Linked DNA regions of Macaca fascicularis. The protein of the gene in region 1 interacts with the protein of each later gene in a pairwise test. Links are inferred from orthologs where the notes say so. Each region holds a gene or a part of one and is shown in the gene's direction. Other genes may lie near its edges.

What was found. The genes of interacting proteins can lie anywhere in the genome.
Region 2: the proteins of ATF4 (region 1) and JUNB interact in binary tests that used the Homo sapiens proteins (3 or more experiments, as listed by UniProt). The link is inferred for Macaca fascicularis from reciprocal best matches to the Homo sapiens genes ATF4 and JUNB.

The regions. Positions count from the first base shown.
Region 1 is NC_088384.1:12,124,632-12,128,745, reverse strand, and holds ATF4 (cyclic AMP-dependent transcription factor ATF-4), read left to right. Parts: upstream 1-1,471; 5' UTR 1,472-1,664; intron 1,665-2,268; 5' UTR 2,269-2,360; coding exon 2,361-2,586; intron 2,587-2,687; coding exon 2,688-3,517; 3' UTR 3,518-3,602; downstream 3,603-4,114. UniProt on the Homo sapiens protein: Transcription factor that binds the cAMP response element (CRE) (consensus: 5'-GTGACGT[AC][AG]-3') and displays two biological functions, as regulator of metabolic and redox processes under normal cellular conditions, and as master transcription factor during integrated stress response (ISR).
Region 2 is NC_088393.1:13,179,972-13,183,589, forward strand, and holds JUNB (transcription factor JunB), read left to right. Parts: upstream 1-1,290; 5' UTR 1,291-1,576; coding exon 1,577-2,620; 3' UTR 2,621-3,118; downstream 3,119-3,618. UniProt on the Homo sapiens protein: Transcription factor involved in regulating gene activity following the primary growth factor response. Binds to the DNA sequence 5'-TGA[GC]TCA-3'.

The DNA.
Region 1 (4,114 bases):
GGAGCTGTGCGACTTTGAGCAAGAAGCTTCATCCCATTGGGCCTCGGTTTACCATTGGAAAGGACTTGTGGGCGAGGTTGAATGAGCGCAGCAGATGGCCTGTGGTTATTTAGAGCAGTGCTTCCCTGGTGGTTTGATACCACAGCGATCATAGAAATACTTGTGTGGCCCGGTGAAATGGAGGCGGAAACAGTTTCTACCTTCACAGGGCCTGACTGGAGGGGGCTGAGGACGATGCGGAGGTTTCCTGTATTAAAACAGACTACCCCCCCTTCCCAACGCACAACCCCGAGCACGTGGCCGTGGGTTCCCAAGCGCCTCTCCTCCCAGGGCCATGGGCATGACCACTGAAAAGCGGGTTAGGCCGGGGAGTTCAGAACCCGGAGTGAATCGAAACTACCCCAGGTAGATGGCAGCGAAGAAAATTCTGTTCTTAGGGGAACGCAATCTTCGGACACCAGAAGTTCCCCTATGATGCTATTCTGTGGCAGCCTCGCACTTGAGCCGGATGAGAATTGTAAAAACCCAGGTTGGGCGACAGGACGGCGCGTCTTCCCGGCTCCTTTCCAGAGTTTAGACGGAGCCATGCAGACTCAGCTGGCCTTTGAGTGTAGGTGGGCAGGCCCGAGGCGCCCTCTCGAGACCCCTTCAACCTCCCGGGGGCAGCAACACCGTGTCGGCTATGAATGGCGTCTCTGGAAAACTCAGGCTTGGAACAGGTAACCCCGCGGTTTCCGCAGGCCAGAAATTAGCCCCCGCAACCGAAGGACGCGCAGGCTGGGAGTGGCGGCGGGGCCGCCAGTGGCGGACCTCCACTGAGGGCGGCGGGACCCGACCGCAGGGGCTGGGCCCTGAGGCCACTATGGGGTGCGCTAGGCTAAGGTCTCCTGGGGGCAGAAGCCAGTGCGATTGTAGCTGGCCAGCAGGCTGGCCGGCCTGAGGCCTGGCAGAGACCCGAGACCCCGACCCTTCCCACGCGGACTCCGTGATCCCTCTCCCAGCAGCCGCCCACCTGGGGCCCTGAGCCAATAAGAGCTCGAGGTATATATGACTCACCGTGCCTGGGCCAATCAACTTGACGCGCGCTTTTCGCCAGCACCTCGCGCGATAACTTGGCGTCCTCGGCCTTCACAATAAAAACTCTCCGCCGGAAAACGACCTCTCCCCGCCCACCGCGCCGACACCGGAAGCGAGGCGTGTCTGCGAGATCACTCCGCGCTCCGGCGGCGAAGGAAAGAACGGACTCTGATCATAGAAGTAAAGTAGTGCACCTCTCTCGTTTCGTGAGGTCATAAGAACAAACACCTTTTCTCGTCACAGCTACGCGCTGGGCATAAACGGTTGGGGCGTCAAAGGGAGGGAAACGAGCGGGCGGGAGGAGATGGTCACGTGGCCGTGGCGGAAGGATGCGTCGGTGCTGCGTCCCCTTAGAGACGAAGTCTATAAAGGGCCGGCGGGCGGCTGTTGCGGCCATTTCTACTTCGTCCGCCCACAAATGTAGTTTGGTTCGCACGTGTGCGCCTTCCCTCCTCCCCGCCCGCAGGGTCCACGGCCACCATGGCGTATTAGGGGCAGCAGTGCCTGCGGCAGCATTGGCCTTTGCAGCGGCGGCAGCAGCACCAGGCTCTGCAGCGGCACCCCCCCCCAGCGGCTTAAGCCATGGCGTGAGTACCAGGGCGGGTCGTCCAGCTGTGCTCCCTGGGCCGGCGCAGGTTTTGGGTTGGTGGGGTGCGGCCTGGGGCCCAGGGCGGTGCCGCCAAGGAGGAAGCGATTTTACGAGCGCCCGGGACGCGTGGTCTTTGCTTGGGTGTCCCCGAGACGCTCGCGTGCCCGGGATCGGGAAGGCGCATTCTGGTGCCAGGACTGCTTCCACAGGGGCCCTGCCGCCCTCGGACCCCGAATCCCCCAAGGGTCCCAGGGGTCTCGGCTTTCCCCCCCCGCGAAACGTGGCAAGAACCAAGATGGCGGCGGCAGGGCGGCGCCGCGGGCGTGAGTCAAGGGCGGGCGGTGGGCGGGGCGCGGCCGCCCTGGCCGTATTTGGACGCGGGGACGGAGCGCCTTCCTCTTGGTGGCCGGTGGAAGAATCGCCTGGTCTCCGTGAGCGTCCATTTTGTGGAACCTGAGCCGCAGCAGGGAGGGGCGGATGCAACTGCCCCGTTGCCGACTCTGTAGATGGCTGGACTAGAGAAGTCCCGCCTCGTAAGTGGAAAGATGAAATTCTCAGACCAGCTAACCTCTAATGGGAGTTGGCTTCTGATTCCCATTCAGGCTTCTCACGGCATTCAGCAGCAGCGTTGCTGTAACCGACAAAGACATCTTCGAATTAAGCACATTCCTCGATTCCAGCAAAGCACCGCAACATGACCGAAATGAGCTTCCTGAGCAGCGAGGTGTTGGTGGGGGACTTGATGTCCCCCTTCGACCAGTCGGGTTTGGGGGCTGAAGAAAGCCTAGGTCTCTTAGATGACTACCTGGAGGTGGCCAAGCACTTCAAACCTCATGGGTTCTCCAGCGACAAGGCTAAGGCGGGCTCCTCCGAATGGCTGGCTGTGGATGGGTTGGTCAGTCCCTCCAACAACGGCAAGGGTGAGTGGGCCACCACCACATCGTCTGGGTGGGATCTAGGGTTAGGGGCCTGTTATCTTTGTATCTGACTCACTTGGCCCTGTCATTCAAATCTTTTGCAGAGGATGCCTTCTCCGGGACAGATTGGATGTTGGAGAAAATGGATTTGAAGGAGTTCGACTTTGATGCCCTGTTGGGTATAGATGACCTGGAAACCATGCCAGATGACCTTTTGACCACGTTGGATGACACGTGTGATCTCTTTGCCCCCCTAGTCCAGGAGACTAACAAGGAGCCCCCCCAGACGGTGAACCCAATTGGCCATCTCCCAGAAAGTTTAACAAAACCCGACCAGGTTGCCCCCTTCACCTTCTTGCAACCTCTTCCCCTTTCCCCAGGGGTCCTGTCCTCCACTCCAGATCATTCCTTTAGTTTAGAGCTGGGCAGTGAAGTGGATATCACTGAAGGAGATAGGAAGCCAGATGCCACTGCTTATGTTGCCATGATCCCTCCGTGCATAAAGGAGGAAGACACCCCCTCAGATAATGATAGTGGCATCTGTATGAGCCCGGAGTCCTATCTGGGCTCTCCTCAGCATAGCCCGTCTACCAGGGGCTCTCCAAATAGGAGCCTCCCATCTCCAGGTGTTCTCTGTGGCTCTGCCCGCCCCAAACCTTACGACCCTCCTGGAGAGAAGATGGTAGAAGCAAAAGTAAAGGGTGAGAAACTGGATAAGAAGCTGAAAAAAATGGAGCAAAACAAGACAGCAGCCACTAGGTACCGCCAGAAGAAGAGGGCGGAGCAGGAGGCCCTCACTGGCGAGTGCAAAGAGCTGGAAAAGAAGAATGAGGCTTTAAAAGAGAGGGCGGATTCCCTGGCCAAGGAGATCCAGTACCTGAAAGATTTGATAGAAGAGGTCCGCAAGGCAAGGGGGAAGAAAAGGGTCCCCTAGTTGAGGGTAGTCAGGAGCGTCAGTGTGCTTGTACATAGAGTCTCTGCTGTTGCTGTGTGTTGGAATAAATTATTTTGTAGGGAAAGTACTTGTGTGGATTCTTTTTCTGGCAAATTAGCCGAGTGAGGCGCCACCCACCCATCCCAAACTGGTCATAACATTCCTTGTGAGATCTGGGGAGGAGGGCAGTCCAGGACTGAAGATGGGTACCCAGAGTGGGAACTGCTCGCCCTGCTAGGTGTAAGCCACGATGCCTGATGACTCATGGGGCCATACAGCCAGATAGTTGGCCAACTGTAGCAAGTTGGGTCCTTTACCCAGAGGTGAGTTCGCTGGTTGTGTAGGGAGGAGGCTGGAGCTCTCTGGGAGGTTGGGAGGGAGGGACAGCCTGGGCCTCCACCTATTTATTCAAGAGGGCTTCATGCCAACAGCTGTCGCCTGAAACCCTGGATAAGCTTGCACAGTCCTTGAGATAAGCACACAAGATTAGTTTTCACTTGTTACCCTGAGTTCTGTAGAAGCGTGTTCCTGAAGAAAGAAATGGCTCCTTTTCGGAATTGATGCTGAAGCAGGACAGGAGCTGAGGGTTGGCCTCCA
Region 2 (3,618 bases), on another chromosome or scaffold:
CAGGCTCCACGCACCCGGGCCTCCGCGGGGGCTCGCACGCCCAGGTTCCTCTTCCGAGGCGCAGGATGCGGCGGGACCCAGGGCGGGGCGCACGGTCCCGTAGGATCCAAGTGACGGAGACAGGGCCGGGCTCCTTCCCCCGGGGCTGTTGCCACACTTCCTGCCTCGGCGCTCTTTCCCCAGCCTGTTTCTAAGGAAGGGAGTGGGGTTGGGCGACCGCGCCCCAGCCGTCGGGCTGGGTCCAGGCTCCAGGAGCCGACACGGTGTCGGGCAAAGCCCAGGGTCAATAGGGGAGAGTTTTAGGATGGGGGACAGAGAATACAGATGCCTAGGAGGTTACCCACGAGGGGGAGCACCAGTCGTGGAAGATCCAGCAGTCCTGGTGCGCAGGACCCTCAAAGCCCCCTCCTCGCATGTCAACTGAGTACCCTCTTATTGTCTTCTCTGCTCCGAAGATGTGTCCGGACCCTTCTGACTCTCTCCTTCATCCGGGCTTCGCAGATGACCCCAGTGGTCACCAGCTTCTGGCAGACTTGTCTCCATCTTCTACCCTGCATATTTTACCTGCCTCAGTGTACCGCAGGACGCTTACTCGCTTTCTGCATACCTAGATTTCCCCTAATTCCTCCTTCCCAATTACGGGAGAGCCCTCAGACCTTCCCATGGGCTCCTGGACCCTACTCATTTCTTTCAATTTAATGGGTCGTGCAGCTCCGCCCACTCACCCCTTTTGATCTCTCCCCTCCTCCATCCTGTGAAAATTCCAGCCCCGCATCCTTCTATGCTCGGGACCCCCAGTCAATTCCTGGGTCAGATGTCTCCTTACCCCTCCCGATTTACCGTGCTTAACCCTCATTCCTGCTTTTTGGGGTCTCCCAATGAATTGTCCTACCCCTCTCGTATTCTGGGTACCTCAGGGGTTTCTTCGCACACCCTGAGATCCTCACCCTACTTGCTGCGTACCAGGTCCTGGTATTTGTCCCAGTGGACTTCAATGAAATCATCCTCCTCCCTGAAACCCCTCACTCATGTGCCTGGGCCCCCAGGCCTCCTTCCATGCGTACCCCGGGGTCCTTTGAGCCCCTCCCCCTGCAGGCCCGCCGAGCCACCCGGCCCGTGGCCGCTGTTTACAAGGACACGCGCTTCCTGACAGTGACGCGAGCCGCCTCCTCCCCTTCCCCACGCTCGAAGAGGGGGGCGCGGGGGCCCGGCTTCGGCGACGGCCAATCGGAGCGCACTTCCGTGGCTGACTAGCGCGGTATAAAGGCGTGTGGCTCAGGCTGAGCGGCTGGGACCTTGAGAGCGGCCAGGCCAGCTTCGGAGCCAGCAGGGAGCTGGGAGCTGGGGGAAACGACGCCAGGAAAGCTATCGCGCCGGAGAGGGCGACGGGGGCTCGGGAAGCCTGACAGATCTTTTGCGCACAGCTGCCGGCTGGCTGCTCCCCGCCCGCGCCAGCCCCCGAGAACGCGCGACCAGGCACCCAGTCCGGCCACCGCAGCGGAGAGCTCGCCGCTCGCTGCAGCGAGGCCCGGGGCGGCCCCGCAGGGACCCTCCCCAGACCGCCTGGGCCGCCCGGATGTGCACTAAAATGGAACAGCCCTTCTACCACGACGACTCATACACAGCTACGGGATACGGCCGGGCCCCTGGTGGCCTCTCTCTACACGACTACAAACTCCTGAAACCGAGCCTGGCGGTCAACCTGGCCGACCCCTACCGGAGTCTCAAAGCGCCTGGGGCTCGGGGACCCGGCCCAGAGGGCGGCGGTGGCGGCAGCTACTTTTCTGGTCAGGGCTCGGACACCGGCGCGTCTCTCAAGCTCGCCTCTTCGGAGCTGGAACGCCTGATCGTCCCCAACAGCAACGGCGTGATCACGACGACGCCTACACCCCCGGGACAGTACTTTTACCCCCGCGGGGGTGGCAGCGGTGGAGGTGCGGGGGGCGCAGGGGGTGGCGTCACCGAGGAGCAGGAGGGCTTCGCCGACGGCTTTGTCAAAGCCCTGGACGATCTGCACAAGATGAACCACGTGACACCCCCCAACGTGTCCCTGGGCGCTAGCGGGGGGCCCCCGGCTGGGCCCGGGGGCGTCTACGCCGGCCCGGAGCCACCTCCCGTTTACACCAACCTCAGCAGCTACTCCCCAGCCTCTGCGTCCTCGGGAGGCGCCGGGGCTGCCGTCGGGACCGGGAGCTCATACCCGACGGCCACCATCAGCTACCTCCCACACGCGCCACCCTTCGCCGGTGGCCACCCGGCGCAGCTGGGCTTGGGCCGCAGCGCCTCCACCTTTAAGGAGGAACCGCAGACCGTGCCGGAGGCGCGCAGCCGGGACGCCACGCCGCCGGTGTCCCCCATCAACATGGAAGACCAAGAGCGCATCAAAGTGGAGCGCAAGCGGCTGCGGAACCGGCTGGCGGCCACCAAGTGCCGGAAGCGGAAGCTGGAGCGCATCGCGCGCCTGGAGGACAAGGTGAAGACGCTCAAGGCCGAGAACGCGGGGCTGTCGAGTACCGCCGGCCTCCTCCGGGAGCAGGTGGCCCAGCTCAAACAGAAGGTCATGACCCACGTCAGCAACGGCTGTCAGCTGCTGCTTGGGGTCAAGGGACACGCCTTCTGAGCGCCCCCTGTCCCCTTACGGACACCCCCTCGCTTGGACGGCTGGGCGCACGTCTCCCACTGGGGTCCAGGGAGCAGGCGGTGGGCACCCACCCTGGGACCTGGGGGCGCCGCAAACCACACTGAACTCCCGCCCTGCGCCCAGTCCTTCCACCTCGACGTTTACAAGCCCCCCCTTCCACATTTTTTTGTATGTTTTTTTTCTGCTGGAAACAGACTCGATTCATATTGAATATAATATATTTGTGTATTTAACAGGGAGGGGAGGAGGGGGCGATCGCGGCGGAGCTGGCCCCGCCGCCCGGTACTCAAGCCCGCGGGGACATTGGGAAGGGGACCCCCGCCCCCTGCCCTCCCCTCTCTGCAACGTACTGTGGAAAAGAAACACGCACTTAGTCTCTAAAGAGTTTATTTTAAGACGTGTTTGTGTTTGTGTGTGTGTTTGTTCTTTTTATTGAATCTATTTAAGTAAAAAAAAAAAAAATTTGTTCTTTATTAATTTCTGTTGTCTTTTTTTCCAAGCTGGGAGGGCGGAGGGAAAAAAAAGCACTGGTGTGCCCCCAGCTCAGTGCTGTTGGTGGCTCGGTCCTGTATGTGTCCCCCTCGTCGGCTCTGCGCAGGCATCTTGTGGTCCCAACCCGGGAGTCCCACCCTTCCCGCGTCCCCGGATCTCCAGGGTTGGATGGTTGGGGCGCGGGACGCAGTCCAGGGACACAGTAGCTGAAGGCAGGGCGCTGGGGGCGAGACGCGGAGCGCGCAGGCGCGGCCCCGCCCAGCAGTGCGCGCCGGGGCTTTCCCCGCTGACGCAGCGGAAGCGCTGCCCATACAAGGACCGATTCTGCCCAGTGACGCGACCGCGGTCTCTGGGCAGATTCCGGGAATCCCCTCCCCCGCTCTGCCGGGCAGGGCCGCAGCGCCGGGAAGGGGGCCGGGATTTTCCCGGGCAGGCGGCTGCCCGGGCACGGAAAGCCCCAGGCCTGGGTCCAGAGGGCCCGCGGT